Linked DNA regions of Macaca fascicularis. The protein of the gene in region 4 purifies or fractionates together with the protein of the main gene of each other region. This does not show direct contact. Links are inferred from orthologs where the notes say so. Each region holds a gene or a part of one and is shown on either strand. Other genes may lie near its edges.

Evidence for each region.
Region 1: the proteins of RRP1B (region 4) and SRSF1 purify together in Homo sapiens (co-immunoprecipitation; 3 studies listed by BioGRID and IntAct, with this or other methods). This does not show direct contact. The link is inferred for Macaca fascicularis from reciprocal best matches to the Homo sapiens genes RRP1B and SRSF1.
Region 2: the proteins of RRP1B (region 4) and SRSF6 purify together in Homo sapiens (affinity purification with mass spectrometry; 3 studies listed by BioGRID and IntAct, with this or other methods). This does not show direct contact. The link is inferred for Macaca fascicularis from reciprocal best matches to the Homo sapiens genes RRP1B and SRSF6.
Region 3: the proteins of RRP1B (region 4) and RPL10A purify together in Homo sapiens (affinity purification with mass spectrometry; 3 studies listed by BioGRID and IntAct, with this or other methods). This does not show direct contact. The link is inferred for Macaca fascicularis from reciprocal best matches to the Homo sapiens genes RRP1B and RPL10A.

Annotation. Positions count from the first base shown.
Region 1 is NC_088390.1:48,706,018-48,710,345, reverse strand, and holds the start of SRSF1 (serine/arginine-rich splicing factor 1), read right to left. Parts: upstream 2,801-4,328; 5' UTR 2,692-2,800; coding exon 2,498-2,691; intron 2,090-2,497; coding exon 1,905-2,089; intron 1,538-1,904; coding exon 1,365-1,537; intron 1,165-1,364; coding exon 978-1,164; intron 605-977; coding exon 582-604; coding exon of another isoform or gene 566-581; 3' UTR 1-565. UniProt on the Homo sapiens protein: Plays a role in preventing exon skipping, ensuring the accuracy of splicing and regulating alternative splicing.
Region 2 is NC_088384.1:99,544,543-99,548,628, reverse strand, and holds the start of SRSF6 (serine/arginine-rich splicing factor 6), read right to left. Parts: upstream 2,840-4,086; 5' UTR 2,702-2,839; coding exon 2,595-2,701; intron 2,375-2,594; coding exon 2,226-2,374; intron 1,881-2,225; exon of another isoform or gene 1,585-1,880; coding exon of another isoform or gene 1,433-1,584; exon of another isoform or gene 1,196-1,432; intron 967-1,195; coding exon 842-966; intron 703-841; coding exon 494-702; intron 218-493; coding exon 134-217; intron 30-133; coding exon 1-29. UniProt on the Homo sapiens protein: Plays a role in constitutive splicing and modulates the selection of alternative splice sites. Plays a role in the alternative splicing of MAPT/Tau exon 10. Binds to alternative exons of TNC pre-mRNA and promotes the expression of alternatively spliced TNC.
Region 3 is NC_088378.1:136,223,985-136,228,226, forward strand, and holds RPL10A (large ribosomal subunit protein uL1), read right to left. Parts: upstream 2,817-4,242; 5' UTR 2,786-2,816; coding exon 2,781-2,785; intron 2,422-2,780; coding exon 2,347-2,421; intron 2,267-2,346; coding exon 2,186-2,266; exon of another isoform or gene 1,928-2,185; intron 1,833-1,927; coding exon 1,684-1,832; intron 741-1,683; coding exon 568-740; intron 338-567; coding exon 167-337; 3' UTR 137-166; downstream 1-136.
Region 4 is NC_088377.1:3,421,518-3,425,610, forward strand, and holds the start of RRP1B (ribosomal RNA processing protein 1 homolog B), read right to left. Parts: upstream 2,824-4,093; 5' UTR 2,723-2,823; coding exon 2,593-2,722; intron 1-2,592. UniProt on the Homo sapiens protein: Positively regulates DNA damage-induced apoptosis by acting as a transcriptional coactivator of proapoptotic target genes of the transcriptional activator E2F1.

The DNA.
Region 1 (4,328 bases), on a different chromosome or scaffold from region 4:
ATTCCCAACTAGATTATCTACACCAATACATTGGAACTCTATATTTTGCTTTCATTTTGTCTTAAAAAAATGAAATAGCAACGCTCTATCAGTCACACAGAGGACATGCAGATTTAGCAGTATTGATATTATACTCTATCTTGTTGGATTTAAAGACACCCTGTACCCACATGTACACCAACAGCAGGTCACACATTAACAGTTGTAACTAAGCACTGTGACAAATTAGCCAGTTCTTCCCACATTAGTCCCTATTAAAACAAAAATGGGGGGAAGGGAGCAAAATAAGTTGCTACAAAATGGGCAATATAATTTTGCCACAATTGCCAAGGTTTAAAGAGCAAAGCAATTGTAGCTAAAGATAACTGAATAAAATGTTTGCAAGTGTTTTAAGGAAAACGTATATAATCATTTTTAACCCCTGCCTTTTAGTATAAGGTCAATACTGCCAATTTCATCTGTGACAATAGCACTTGGAGTCATACCATTGCCTCCATTATTGATCTGATCCTCCTCAATCCTCCTTTTGACAATCCTAAAATGATTGAAATGTGCTCCACAATCCTTAATCCAAAGCATTCTTAATCCATCTCTTCAGATATGTCTACAGAAAGACACATGAAAAGCAAGATAAACATAAGAACTTCCCCAGGTAAGATAACCACAAACACCCCCAACATCCCAGTTCACACAAACCAGGGCAGAATAGACATTTACACAATATCACAGTCTGAAGAGTATGGAGTTAACTAAATTTAAACAATCCTGTCTATGACATCACTTAAAATACAATTTATCGAAGACACGAGGGGAATGTAGATGTTAGGAGCAAGGGGATATTACAAGAATGCAATTCAACACTTTAGCCCATTCTGAACAAAACAGTTTGAATTAAAAAATGAAAAGATTGTACTGAATAAAGGAAAACTGTATACAACATGGGTTCTACAAAAAGTGTCACCAATCATCTTATGTACGAGAGCGAGATCTGCTATGACGGGGAGAATAGCGTGGTGATCCTCTGCTTCTCCTTGGGGAGTAACTGCGACTCCTGCTGTTGCTTCTGCTACGGCTTCTGCTACGACTACGGCTTCGAGATCGAGATCTTCCATAACTTGGACTTCTGGGCCCATCAACTTTAACCCGGATGTAGGCAGTTTCTCCCTATTGGATAGACAGAACTTTCCATTGAAAGATCTAAGCTTTCATCTATCTTCAGGCATGCTGAATGCATACAATGCAACTACAACCAGAAATCTGGCAATTTACTTGGACACCCTTGCCTGAATTCTTACCTTCAAATTCCACTGTTAAGACCACTGTATCCAATTCTGGTCAAAGAAAAGAATAAGCGTATAACCTACCTCATGAGATCTAAACTTAGTGTTATCCAGTTTTCGAACTGCATAGGTCATATCTTCTTTCCGTACAAACTCCACGACACCAGTGCCATCTCGGTAAACATCAGCATAACATACATCACCTGCTTCACGCATGTGATCCTTTAAATCCTGCCAACTTCCACTTGGAGGCAGTCCTGAAAAAGTGATTTTTTTTCTTAGTATCAATTATCTTAAATTTCACGTTAAGCTGGTAAGATACATTAGAACAAAGAGTACTTTAAAATACTTAATAGGTGTACTTAAGTGATACCAGGTAAAGAGCTGGTAAGATTCTGGGATCCAGAGTCCAAAATTATTTGTAACGGATCTTCGTATCTAGTACCGCAACCTAATTTGGTAAATCACCACAGCAGCAATCCTCGTTTATTAAATTCACCCAAAAACTAAAGCAATTTAACACCTAGCATGAAAAATTTGCAATTGTTAAACCGATCATGCAAGACAAAAATTTTAGGTAGCTTCCGTCCCTTCACATCAATCCACACAACAAAGTACACTCACCAGAGACAACCACTCTGTTTTCAGACCGCCTGGATGGGGGGCCATAGCGACCTCGGGGAGCTCCGCCACCTCCACCCCCGCCGCCGCCTCGGCCTGTTCCACGGCCGCTTCGAGGAAACTCCACCCGCAGACGGTACCCATCGTAATCATAGCCGTCGCGACCATACACCGCGTCTTCCGCGTCTCTGCGGGATCGCAGAAAGTAAAAGGCATGAGAAAGACCAGGAGGAGAAGCTCGCTCAGTCGGGAACCCCCCGCACATGCGCACCCAACGTGGAAGAGCCCACATGCGCCGCATAATAGGAATGGCCCCTCCCCCACCCAGAAACACGCCAGGCTCCCAACCACTACACCAGCCCTCAGCGCCTCAGTTTCCCGCTCCAGCCTGCGAATGGGCTCCGGGGACGTCCAAGGCGAGGCGCCAGAGAAGCCACACCAACTCAGCTCCTTACTCGACTCCTGCATGGGCGATACAGTCTCGCCCCAACCTCTCTAAGAGCCCCCGCTTCCCCGTTCTCTATGTTAAGGCCTTGGAGCCTTCCCCGACTACTCGGACCTATTTCCTCAAGGCTGCAAGCCCCATGCCGCCTCACCGCGGGTCCTCGAACTCAACGAAGGCGAAGGGCGGTCCCCCGCGGCGATTCTTGAGGTCGATGTCGCGGATAGCGCCGTATTTGTAGAACACGTCCTCAATGTCCTTGGTTCGGATGTCTGGAGGTAAGTTACCCACGTAGATGCGGCAATCGTTGTTCCCTGCGGGGCCACGAATCACACCACCTCCCGACATGGCGGTGACGAAAAGCGCGGACTCGAGAACAGGCCTTCCCACCAAGCCTAGCGCACCGCAGAGCGAGCCCGCAGCGGCACCACGTCTCCCGCGGCCCCTCCAAAATGGCGCCTTTATCAGCTCGGCGCACGGATATGGGGGGGAGACAGAGGAAGAGAAGCGGAAGGAAACAGCGATTCGATCCCAACACGCACGCGCGGGAGCGCAACGGGTGCTGCGAGGGATACGCGCAACGCACGCGCACGCACGCGCGACGTCACCCTCCGCACGAAGGGGGAAAAAAAGTCCCCCGCGTTCCCCGCTTGGGGTGGTTTGCGAATAGAGTGAGCAGCCGTTTGGTAAAAGTTAAATAAAGAACTCTCGTTAAAGGAGCTAGTCATCCAGGTCGAGTCTTGAAGGATAGTCAATTTCCCCAGGAATGAGGAGCTTTGAAAGCAACTCGGCGCCTTCAAAGGACTTGGTGAAACCTAGCCTAAAGCCTTGTCCCACCATGCTCTGCGGCGATAACGGCCTTTGGCGGGAAAGAGACTCGGAGGCGGGGCTAAAGGGGGAGGGCTCGGGCCGTTGCTCCGGAAACCCGGGTATCTTCGTAGAGTGCGTCTGGTCCAGAGCTGAGTTGCCGGTGACTGAATAGAGAGCTGGGGCGTTGGTTTGTCTTCCCGCCCCTGCTGCGAACAAGCTGTGGCTGCTTAGACAGATGTGTCTAATTTAGCGAAACCGGTTTAGATTCCTTAATCCTTTTCATTAAGAACCATTCCACCTTCTCGTCAGAACTTTGCATAGCTCAGTTCAGCACTCTTTGTGCTAGTCGCAGTGGGCCCGTACCCCGACCTTTCAACGTGGTACCCGCCAACCAGAAGGGGTAACAGTACTGCTTCTGGTACCCACACCTCTTTATCTCTTGTTAATCGCCTATCCGTGGGACTAGCGCAGATTGCCTGCAGAATGAATTGTTTCTGTTGTTTCCTTTTAAAGAACGAGAAGGAAGAAAAGGTGCGTGTGTGCAGTCCTTTTTTCAAAAGTTTCCTCTAAAAGTTACTGAAATTGAAAATACCGGTCCTCCCAGGTAATAAAATGGACCGAAATGGATGAGAGCCGTATCCACTAGAGACCGCGGTTGCTATTCAGGACTGTGATCTTATTTGCCTGCGACATTGGGAGATAACATTTTACATTTTTTTTCGACGTCTGCAATCTGGATTTTTATGTGAAATCCTGGGATTTTTAAACGTCGCTAATGAATTCAAATTAAAATCAGGCTGGGCGCGGTGGCTCACGCCAGCACTTTGGGAGGTAGAGGCGGCAGATCACTTGAGGTCAGGAGTTCGAGACCAGCCTGGCCAACATGGTGAAATCCCGTCTCTACTGAAAAAAAAAAAATTAGCCGGGCTTGGTGGCGGGCGCCTGTAATCCAGCCTACTCGGGAGGCTGAGGCAGGAGAATCGCTAGAACCCTGGAGGTGGAGGTTGCAGTGAGCCGAGATCGCGCCATTGCGCTGCAGCCTGGGCTACAGAGTAAGACTCCTCCTAAAAAAAAAAAAAAAAAAAAAAAGGAGGGGGAAACAACAACAAAATCAAATCCTGCAGTCATAAATTTGCGATAACAGATCTACACCCTGAATTTCAGGGATAATGTTC
Region 2 (4,086 bases), on a different chromosome or scaffold from region 4:
GTGATCGACCTTTGCTCCGCGACCTGGAACTGGACAAGGAAAGACCGATTCTCTCAATACTTTGTAAGAACATACACGTACTCCATAAACAAGTACAGTAATATTCACAATGACTCAACACAACATTATTTACCGGGAGCGACTTTTTGAGATACTTCGAGATCTACTGCGGCTGCTCCTGCGACTCCTACTTCGTGACCGTCTTCTAGATCGAGACCTATTAGGAGAAAAACAATGAAGTCTTAATCTCAATCCATCTTAAATACACCTGTGCCATCTGGCAAAAATAGATAAGCCAAAGAATAATGTTTTTCTTTACTACGAAATTAAATACACCTTCAAAACATCCAGAAAAAAACCCAATGATGCACAGCCAAAACAAACTAAAAGCTGGCTTTAATTCAAGTAGGCAACAATTGAAATTACTCCATTACTTCCCTTTTTTATTGTCAAATATTCTGTTTCCTCCCCACAGTGTCCTTCAACAAGTTACCTGGATCTGCTTCCAGAGTAAGATCGCCTATGGCTTGTGCGTGGCTTATCTTCAATAAGCCTAATATTTCTGCCATTTATTTCTGTGCCATCCAGTTTGTCCAAAGCACGCTTCATGTCAGAGTAGGAGCGAAACTCAATTACACCCTCATTTGTTCGTTCCTTGTGGGCATCCGCATAGGTTACTTCACCTGCTTGTCGCATAAAATCCTGAAATGATAAGATTGGTCAGACTCGGAAATCTTAAAAGATCTATATACTATAATAAATTCCCAGAAATAAGAATGTAAATAAGAGTTTACTTTAAAGCATTAGTCGTATCCTTTGTATCTTGAATTATAGCACATACCTTTAAATCTTGCCAACTGCACCGACTAGAAAGATTTTCTACAATAAGCCTGTATTCTGTACGAACAGGTGGTCCGTATTTGTCTCTGCCAGATGTTCTCCGACTGCTGTATCCACCTCCACCACCTTTATCACATGAAGGGAACAATTAGATGCCTTGTAATGATAAAAACGCATAATGTCTTTGAAAGTTAGTACAAACATATCAACTTTTATTTACTGGAGTAGGACTTTGCTATTATATTGCTAAACCTTCGACACATTTGTGATTTGCCATAAAATTAAATTAAGGGCAAGTCAAATAGACTAAATCCAACTAAACCTCTCCTACAATCTGTTAGAGAGTGACTGCTCCTTTATTCGATTTACCTCGCTAAGTTTTATTTTACAGAACATTGTAAAATATAAAACTTAACTGATTACATGCATTTCTACATTTTACAAAAATGTTTACTAGTTTTACACTAAGTACTTACATCACAGTGTGAGGTTTTTGGTGGTGGTTTGGCCACAAAACACGCAAGGTAACAGTCACCTAGTTCAGATTAACCAGTTTTGTCTAACCCTTGGAATCCTCACCATCACCCTGCGTCTAATGGCAAAAGGCTGCTGTCGTCATGGCTTCCGGTAAGGTCAGCCAAAGGGTCATAGGGCAAGGGTCACACAATGTATGGAAAAGCCAAGGCCAATCAGGAAAGGCAGTCATCTTAGCCTCAGTGGACACAGCCTCAGCCCCATTGGTCACTTTCAAATTGAAACATCAAGGACTTGTTAAAAAGTTTGAATTCAACATGCAACAATTTAAACATCAAACATTTAACATAACCAAAAATCCCCCCAACCTCCTCCCAGTAACATGCCCCAGTTAGTTCAAATACAGCATAAAGCTTATTTAGATCTACTTTGTGGTACAATACCACATTACTTAAAAATAGTACATTCTTCGGCCCCCATCAAGTTCCATAACTTTAAGACCTATACTTTAAGCTCCTCCCTTCCCTGTCCCCCGCCCCCCTACCCCACCTCCACCCCAGCCTGCCCCCGAACCTCTAACTAATGCACTGATAGGTAAGTAAGGAGAATACAACAAATACAGCCACTCCTTACTTCCTCTGTGGTTAGAACCTGTGACAGTGCTGACAAGGGGCCAGAAGAAGCCACCCCCCGCCCAACTTCGCAAATAAAACCAAACACCCAAACCCAATCCCCGCGCTCCGGCGTCCCATGGCTGCCCCGGGCAGACATGAAGGCAGCGGGGCTCGGGGACACCCGAGTCAAACGACCCCCAGCCCTCGCGCCTGCCCGGGCTGGGAGGCCCCAACCCACCCACCCCCGCCCGCCCCCAGGGTCCCCAAGGGCGCGGAGCGCGCGGGGGTGGGACTCACTGCGGCTTCCGTAGCTGTAGCCGTCGCGATCGCGACGCGGGCCCCTGGCGTGCTCTACGATCACGCGCTCGCCGCAGAGCTCCTTGCCGTTCAGCTCGTAAACGGCGTCGTCGGCGTCGCGGGAGTCCTCGAACTCCACGAAGCCGTACCTGGGGGCGGTGCCAGGGCCGGACAACGGCGGGGGCGTCGTTAGCCAGGGCGCGCCCGTGCGCGTGCCCGCACCCCTCAGCGCGCCCCCGCGACGCCGCGCCGTCGCCATCTTGGAGGCCCTGCCACGCGGCGCCGCGGCCTTGGCCGCCTTTTTCCTTGGAGAGTTCCCGCCGCCACCAGGCCTGGGACGCTGGGGGCAGGCGCCCAGGCTCGACTCACCCATTTTTGAGGTCTACTTCGAGGAGGCGGCCATAGCCACTGAAAAAGCGCTGGATGTCCTTCTCCCGGACGTTGTAGCTCAGGCGTCCTATGTAGACGCGCGGCATGTCCGTGGCGGGCGGGGGCCCAAGGGCTGGTTGTCAAACGGCGGACCGCAAGCCAGTAGCCGCGGTGCAGGTGCGGGGACGGCAAGAGCCCGAACACGCGCCTCACACCACAGCGGCGGCCGAGTCCAGCCACACAATGATGCGCGCGCGCGCCAGGCTTACGCTATATGGGCGGCCAGTGGGGCGGGGCCTGGCGCGTGACGTCAGCGCGCAGCGGCACGTCCGTCCCCAGTCGGCCCTGGGCTAAATGGTGACTGGCGAGTCAGCTGCCCGCGACGTTTCGGTGTAGTGCGGTCTTGCTCGCTTCTAGGATTTTTCTCCAGCCCTCCCCACCGTCTTTGAAAACACAGTGTCTCTAATGCAGCCGCAGAATTGTTTTCTAATTTGTACCTTTTATAAAACTGCGCGATCGATCTCTTTGGGGTTGAAGCTCGGGAGGCGGGCTGAGAGAATCCCCGTTTTTCATTGGTTCTCGAGGTGGTTATAATGGGTCGCCGCGGTCTCTGATTGACGGCTTAAAACGAGGCTGCCTGTTTCCCCCAGCGATTGGTTGGTGCTCGTTTTGGTGGGGACCGCGCTCTCGGACCCAGTCGCTGGTCCGGTTTCGCAGAATCCGAGGATCACGCGCTGAGGTCTTGCTGACCTGGCGGGGGTCGCGTTGCGAACTTGCAGAGCCGCCATCAGCTTCTCCAAGTCTCACTCGCAGCCTTCTTCAGTCTTGGCCTCCCCGGACGTTCCCCTCTCCCTCCATGGGTCTTTCTTGGAGCCCTGTCAACTTGACTCACTTGTGGATTGGGGTGTCCGTGGGAATCCTACGCTCACTGTAGGTGCTCAAAAGGGAGCGCGGAGGAGACCCCGCAGCCCTCCTACAGCGATGAACAATTTTTTTTCTCCCGTATATAGAAAGTCCTTTGTCCCAATACTATCATTTCTTCCATTGACTTGAAAGTGCCTTATTTTGTGAGTTTATCAAGGGAGATGCTATTTAAAGCTGGAGAACCAGATGAAAACCTGTGGTTTAAGTTTAGGTGGGGAGCAGAAGACCCAGGCCAACGCCTGGGGTACTCTGAAATTTAAGTACAGGAAAGGAGACTGACGGGAAGGAGTGACTAGCGAGGTAGGGAGAAGACCAGGAGAGTAGGGTGTCACCGAAGCGGAAAAAAAAAAAAAAAAAAGGGAAGGGATATCACTGAGATAACATCAGCTCTTTAGATATTTTTGTATACCTGCTCTGAGTGGTGCAACCTGAATATCCTTCAGCTCCCGGTTGAAAAAGGGGGGTTTTGTCCTCCTGGAGCTATTTGGAAGTCTGGAGGGAAACGTTGTTGTTGTCACGACTGGGGGAGGTAGAGGCCATGCTTAAAGTTAGATAAACAAAAAATACG
Region 3 (4,242 bases), on a different chromosome or scaffold from region 4:
AAACATCCTCTTCCCTGTAGTACCCAACTATCCATCATCAAGATGACAAACTACACAACGAGCCATGGCAGTGCCAAGGCCCTCACCTGTCAGCTGACAAACCACCCCTCACCCTCAATCACAGGCAGACAGAGGGGACTGGTAACAGAATTTATTCAAATGTGCCTTAATATAGGCGCTGGGGCTTGCCCATGGTGCTCTTGATATATAAGGCCCGGACATTCTGCCAGTTTTTCTTGAGCAATGACACCAAGAAGTTGACAGCCAGGTGAATGTTATACACAAGCTCATCGTCTGTCATCTTCACGTGACCAACCGCTACAGCCAGACATAACACCTGGGAGGACAGAAGAGAGGATCAAGTCAGGTTGGTGGAGGAATGGCAAATGGCCTGTCCCTCCCTCACTGGCCTAGTGAACAGGTACTTGGACCCGGGCCAAGGAAGGACCAGGGTTACTCCAAAAATTTCAATCCTGGTGGGCGCTCTCACTGGCATATTTAGAGACTTGGGTAAGATTTAGACCCCGCCAACACCTTCACCCACAGCAACCCACCAGACCCCCTCACCTTCTTCATTTGGAACTTGATTGTGGACTTCACTTCATCCACTTTGGCCACCATGTTTTCGTTGTGTGTGAGCAGGGAAGGGAACTTTCCTGCCTTATTTAGGCCTGGGCCGAGGATTCGTGGAATCTGCTTGATCAGAGACTCTGAGGCCAAAAACGCATCATACTTCTTGGCTGGTAAAGACAGGAAGCCATTGGCATTGCTTAGGACCTGGTCACCAAGGCACACCTCAAATGTGGCTGGCCAGAAACGCACTTGTATCAACCACGTGACATCCAAGCAGCACCCTTCTCTACCCCCGCCTCAGTCTTTTCCCCCGCCTAAAAGGTTTCCAGAAAGTCCTCTGGACCTTCACTGGTCCCAAAACATGCTCTCAGAAAATCAGGCTGACCCATGATCCATGGCATAACCGCTGTACAACGGATGCCCCAGTCAAGACTGCCAGGGCTCAGGCCGGGTGCGGTGGCTCACGCCTGTAATCCCAGCACTTTGGGTGGATCACGAGGTCAGAAGATTGAGACCATCCTGGCTAACACGGTGAAACCCCGTCTCTACTAAAACTACAAAAAAAAAAAAAAAAAAAAAAATTAGCCGGGCGTGGTGGCGGGCGCCTGTAGTCCCAGCTACTCGGGAGGCTGAGGAGGAAGAGAATGGTGTGAACCCGGGAGGCGGAGCTTGCAGTGAGCCGAGATCGCACCACTGCACTCCAGCCCGTCTCAAAAAATAACTAAAAAAAAAGACTGCCTTGGCTTGAATTGTGCCTATTTCTTAGCGGTGGACCCTGGACACGTGACAACTGGCAATGTCTGCTTCCTACCTGTAAAAGCAATCTAATGCCACTGCCTAAACAACGCAGAGTAAGATTTCCAAATCATACCTCACCAGCACCTGGCTGGGTCAACTTACAATACTTGGCCTTCCTCATCAACTGGAATCCTCATAGCAAATACAAACATCAAACCACCCCAAAGCTAAAACAGCACTCAGGCCAGCTAGGCAACCACCGCCGCATTTGCTAGTCTAGCCCCCTCATCACTAAAAATCGAAATGGCAGGAAAGCCTTTCTAGCGCCTCCACCCCACATCTCACATGCAAAACCACAGCGGCCGGACTCACCTAGTTTCTTGACCAGTTTTTTATTCTTGTTGAGTTTTTTCAGCGCCTCGATGTCCATGTGGGGGATATCCACGGCCTTGGCCTCGTCACAGTGCTGCTGGTCCCCCAGGACACACACAGAGAACTTGGGGCGGGGAGTGGACTTAAGCCTGCGTTTTGGGGGACAGCACCAACAGGTTATGCCTAGCCCTGGGTCCCGAGGGCCGGTGAAGGGTGTGGGACCGCAGCAGCCACCGAGCCTTACCCGGAGCGTTCACATTCACCAGCAGCCAGCCTGGCTTGTCAGGCTGGCCGGCGGGCTCGGCCAAGGCCTCCCCACGCCTCCCCTCATGTTTTAAGACCCAGGGTGGGGGTCCGTCCAGCCGCGCCTGCCCGGAGCAGGGGGTCTGAACTACCCTAACACATCAGTACCGACGTGCCCGCCTCCGGCTCAGCGGGAGCCTGCAGGGGAGGGGCAGGCACGGGGGCACTGAGGGCTGGGTGGGGTCAGAACGGTGCCAACCTGACGGTGCCCGAGAAGCGCTTGTCCTTCTGGGGGTCATAGTTCTTCAAGCTGATCTGCAACTCCACCGTCTCCAGGAACCTTCGAGAGAGGAGGGGGATTAAGCGTTAAGCACACGCCGGCCCTCACCACCCGCGCCCTGCCCCAGGATCGGCACTCACTTGCGGCGCTTGCGCTGGTTCCCGTGCAGGACTTCCCGCACCGCCTCGTACAGGGTGTCGCGAGAGACTTTGCTGCTGCGTGAGAGAAGCGACAGCGCGCTCAGGGCCGCGGAGTCCACACGCTCAGACTGCTCAGAAGCCTCCGAGGCTCCAAGCTTCGAGACGGGCGGGCGGCCCACGGCGGACTCCCCAGTAGATTCCGGACACCAAGTAGAGCGACGGGAGCCCAGACCCAGACCCAAACCCCGGTGGAAGAGGGAGCCTCTCGGTGATCGGACCTGGTAGGAAGGGCGACCCGCAGGCCGACCCGCCTTGAGAAATGCCCCGCGGCGAAGGTGGCGCAAGGGCCCGCAGTTCGGTCTGCAGGAGCCGCATCCTTGGCGGGGCACCTGGAGGCGCGGATGAACGCAGATAGGGCTTTCAGGACCACTTACCTCATGGCTTCTCACGCCGCGCTAACCGGAAAAGAGACTAGTACAGTTTGCGCATGCGCTCTAATAGTGGCCCGATCTCGCGAGAATGCGTCGTTACTCGGTCCTACCCACACAGAGGTTGGGTGGGCCAACCCCGAGAAGCGCGGACTTCTCCGGCCGCTGGTGGAGTCGCTGGGCCGCTAGGCCGGCGCGGGAACCCACGGAGTTGTCGCAGCCCTGAGCGCCCCGCGGCCGCCGGTAATGTGCCGATTCGCGCCCGCTGTTGCTGGGCCCCTAGGGAAGCAGCTGCGTTCGGGGCTCGAGCTTCGGTAGGCACACATACTGGTACAGCCCAGTGATGTTCACTGACAGCGTGGATTCCGACATGCTTGTCCCTCAAACCCCTTTCCCCTCGCGCCCTCCGCATCAGCTTATGTTCTCAAAAGCAAGCCTTGTTCCTCGGCCAGACCTCCCTCCCTCAGCACCTTGCTCTAACGTGGACTCGTGGTAAGGGAAGCTTCCGGAAAGTTCTGTTCCTGGCCTCTCAGCGCCTGCAGAGGGAAGAGCTGGCAAAGTCCTAAAGTGAACTTTTACTTGATAATTTGATAACATCTACGTTTTAAGTGTGACTAGTATGAATAAGGCGTCTAGCCAGGTGCTACAGGAATACAAAGATGTAAAACAGGCACACAGCACAGCACACCCATTAAGGTGTCTTCTCTGCTCTTTCCTCTGTACAGTGGGTCTCATCCTCTTAGCCCACTGTAACCCGAAGAGCCCTTCAGATCTCTCCTAGGGTTCATCTGCCCAAAACCCTTCCCTAACTCCAGACTGAGTCACTCCCACCTTTATGTTCATTCCCACCTATCCCCCTGCCTGGTGGGGGCAGCTCCTGTAGGATAGGGTGAGTGGTATTACACATTATTTGGCCCTTAGAAAGTGAGTAAGATACCCTTCACCCTTCCCCTCACCAGGAAAAATATGTTCCTTGTCACTGAGCAGGGAGGTGGAGGGGGTGGGGATGGGTTCAATACCCAGAATTCACAGGAAGGAAAGTACTGCTTCTAATAAGACATTAGTCAGGCGTGCTGGCTCACGCCTGTAATCCCAGCACTTTGGGAGGCAGGCGGATCACCTGAAGTCAAGAGTTTGAGACCAGCCTGGCCAATGTGGTGAAACCCCGTCTCTACTAAAAATACAAAAATGAGCAGGGTATGGTGGCAGGAGCTTGCAATCGCAGCTACTCAGGAGGCCAAGGCAGGAGAATCGCTTGAACTGGGGAGGTGGAGGTTGCAGTGAGCCGAGGTCACGCCACTGCACTCCAGCCTGGTGACAGAGTGAGACTCTGCCTCAAAAAAAAAAAAAAAGAAAAAGACATTATTGAACTTGCTTTTTATTCAATACCATTGATAAATTCAAGTCAGAAACAAAAGCACAGAAGGTCATAACATACACGAGCACAAGAGCTTCATCTGAGCACACT
Region 4 (4,093 bases):
TCCCATTATCACTGTCCATGACGTTCACGCTGCAGAGTTATTTTTTGAAGGCCCAGTGTACTCCATGCCATGTGGTGGTGAACAAGACGTACAAGACAAGAAACTCTGGGTGTGACAGGCACTAACCAGACAGGACTCTGGAGCACTGGTGTAAACTGGTCTTAGGCCCCCCGCGTAACCTCAGCATCTGCAAATCCTGGGCTGGCTCACCAAAGGGTTTGAGCAAAAGGCTCTGTCTAGGCTGTTTTAGCACCATAAGTATTGCTTCTTGTCTTCTACTTTTGTATAGGCCAAGACCTTTCATGGCTGCATGTACTCCCACTTCTGGCTAAGAAAACAGATGGAAGCTTACACTGTTTTGGGAGTAGAATGGCACATTGATAATTAAGCAGCAATGTAGCTAAGTGCTGCAACAGAGACACAATGGATGTTTTAGACCCTGGAGGAGTAGGGCGAGATGCTAGGGGAGGCTTTTTGAAGGAAGTGATACTGAACTGAATGCTGGGAGTGAAGAAGGTGTGGGATTCTTTGCAGAGTGAACAGGAGAAGCAAAGGCAGAGAGGTGAGAAATTGTGTGCTATACACCAAGATCCATGACTGGTTCTATTGACAGAACATGAAGCAGTCACATGGGGCTTAGGGAGGAAGAGCACCTGAGGACAGATCATGACTTGCAGACACTGAATTTCAAAAAATATTGGTGATGTGGGATCAGATTTGTTTTAGGAAGATGACCCTGGGCTGGTCTGTGGAGGACAGATTCGGGGGGACACAAATGAAGTTAAGGAGACCAGTTAGGGAATATGCAGGTGCAGAAGTTTGGGTGAGATGCAAAGGGCCCACAGTCAGAGAATTTATTTCACCAGGAGGCGAAGGAGGGAGGACTGAGGGACACTGGATGTGGGCCAGGGGAAGAGGATGAGGAAGACAGAGGAGTCCAGGACAATCCCCTGCGTCCAGCTGGAATCCGAATGGCTGGTGGGAACTAGCAACCAAAAGAAGAGAAAACAGGTGGTAGAGGAGCAGCAGCAGACAACAGGCTTTCGGGGAAAGAAAATATGATGTTTTTTGGCATCCTGAGTGTGAGGTGCCAGGTAGAGAAGCCAGGCTAGCAAGGCACATCCCAGTTGCAAGTAGGAAAGGGCTGGGTCAACAATTTAGGTTTAGAAACCACCAGCATATATGGACTACCTGGAACTGTAAGAGTAAACAAAATCTCTTAGGGACATCCCTAACAGAATCAAAGTCAGGAATTTTGGTCTTCATTCCTTTTTCTACCAGACTTCCCAGGAAAGTTTATTTTCTTTTTTTGGGTAGTCTGGTGATTTTTCTTAAAACAAACTGAGAATGCCAGTAATGGGGGAGATAATATCTGTTCTTTTAAGCAGATTCTAAATGTATTAGTACCATCAGTAACTAAATCAAACTTTATCTTAAAACCTCTGTCACACATCGTAGTTCATATCGTATGGGCTCACTCAAGAGTTTACAGAAAATATTCTTGGATCAGGTAAATGAAATCATTCAACAGCAGTGCCGTTAAAATCTACACTACAAAGCCCTGTGTGATCTGGCCACTGCCTACAATCTCCAACTTCATCTCATCACACTCTCCCCGCCCACCCACAACTTAATTGGTCTTTCAAACCACTCCTAGGGCACGTGAAGCTCTTTCCTGCCTCTGCATAGGCGCTTTCCGCTCATCTCTCTTCAGATTTCAGCTGAACATCACCCGAGAGGCCTTCCCAGAACAGTCTATCAAGAAGAGCAACCTCCTTCACTTCTTGCTATTACCTGGTTTTCTTTCTTTCTCTCTTTCTTTCTTTTTTTGAGACGGAGTTTCGCTCTTGTTGCCCAGGTTGGAGTGCAATCGTGCGATCTCGGCTCACCGCAACGTCCGCCTCCCAGGTTCAAGCGATTCTCCTGCCTCAGCCTCTCGAGTACTGAGATTACAGGCATGCGCCACCATGCCCGGCTAATTTTGTATTTTTAGTAGAGCCGGGGTTTCACCATGTTGGATTGGCCAGGCTGGTCTCGAACTCCCGACCTCCGGTCATCCGCCCGCCTCGGCTTCCCAAAGTGCTGGGATTACATGCGTGAGACACCGCGCCCGGCCTACTACCTGGTTTTCATTTCCTTTACTACACTTACACAAGGTCTACTTTATTTGCCTGTTTGCCTCCTTGCTTTATTACTAACAAATCCTCGAGAGTAGTGCTTCTGTCTTCTCTCCTCCAGCCCCGGCACGTAAAGGTGCTGGTCAAAGAAAGGCGGCAATCACCGACCGGACACCAGGGCAAATGAGGGCAGCCCAGTGATTCGAGATGCCGGCTGGGGAATCGGACCCATTGGGTCTTTTCTCAGCTTTCCCGCTTACTGTGACTTTCACAAGTAACGGAACACCCTCAACCCGTTTCCTCAAGTGTAAAAAGGCACTAGACACAGCAAGAAGCGGTTCTGGCAGCGCGGAAACCTAAGCACACGCTGGGTGTCACGACAACACGTGGAAGCCGCGTTCCGTGCCAGGGCCCTGGCCCCAGCCCCGGCCCCCGGCCCGCCATGTGGCGCGGCTGACCGCCGCCGTGCGCCCACCTGTCTCCCTCTGCGTCTTCACGCTGATGTACTGGCGCAGCTTCTTCACCGCCCGGTCCCGAATGCCCTTCTCGCTGGACGCCAGCCGCTGGGCAAACTGGATCTCGGCCGGCTGCATGGCGGGGGCCATCGCGCCCGCTGGAGCATCCCCGGCCGCGCAACCCGCGGTGCAGATGCCGCCAGCCGAGCGCCGCGGAGCAGCCAGCCGCCGTCCGCCAGGGCCTCGACTGCACAGAAGTCGGCGACGGCGCGCGAGTTGATGGCGTCACAAAGGCGCCGCGGCTCGCAGCGCGCTCTGGGAGTGAGCGCGGCCGTGGCCCTGGCAGCGGGCGGAGCGGCCCATCTCTTGTGCGAGTGGCGCCGGCGCTGCCTTTCGGTTGCCAAAATTCAGGCTGTACACGGCGAGGTTAGCCAGGGTTAGGACTTGGCCAGGAAGAGACGGACGGCTGTTTGTAAACGGTCTAGGATTTTTTGTTTTTGAGACAGGGTCTCCCTCTGTCGCCCAGGCTGGAGTGCAGGGGCGCGATCTTGGCGGTGATCTTGGCTCACTGCAGCCTCGACCACCCAGACTCAAGCGATCCTCCCATGTCGACCACCCAAGTAGCTGAGACTACAGGCGCGCGCTATCACGCCCCACTACTTTTTATTTTTGTAGAGATGGGGTCTCGCTATGTTGTCCAGGCTGGTCTCAAACTCCTGGGCTTAAGCAATCCTCCCGCCTCGGCCTCCCTGAGCGCTGGGATTAAGGGATTGAACCACGGCGCCTGGCCACAGTCTAGGATCTTTAATCCCATTTAGCACACCCCGTTGAGCCAGCAGCTCACCTGCGATCTCCGTGGCACGGAGTTTTTAACTGTGGAGCCCCCGGGCCCCAGGGTGGAGTTGAGACTGGAAGGAAAGGCCGGCACTGGGGCCTGTTGAGCGGGTGAAGGGCTCACCTTCCGCCAGCGCCTGCAGAGGCTCGGGCAGGTCGGCGCGCCCCTTACTCTGGAGCCCTAGTGCCAGTGCTGGGGCACCCGCGCCGGCGTCCCGAAGCCTGGAGAGCACGCGCGCTTCCAGGGGAGTTGGGCAGGGCGGGCTGCTTGCTAACTCCAGAGAGGGAAGAAATCTTAGCTTTGGGTTCATCTAAAACCCAAGAACATCCTATATTTTGCGGACTCAGCGGGCGTGCCGGGGCAAGCTAATGGACTAGGTCACTCCACACGTAGCGGGGGTTATCTCAGTTGCTCCGCTCAGTTATGTGGGCGACCTCCCGAGGTGCCTGTTGACACAAAAATTCAACCCTTAACATAAAAGCGCCTGAATCCGAGCGAGGGAAGGCGAACCGCGGAGGCGAGGTTTCCAGCAAAGACTGCCAGTTTGAAACGGTCCCCCTTAGTGTAGCATTCCTCGCCAAACAGGAAAGGACTCTTCCGATTTATTTTACTTGACACTTACATCAGGGGCTGACTTTCCTTCTGCTTTGCAGATAACCCCGGCTAAATTTAAAACCCGGGCTAAG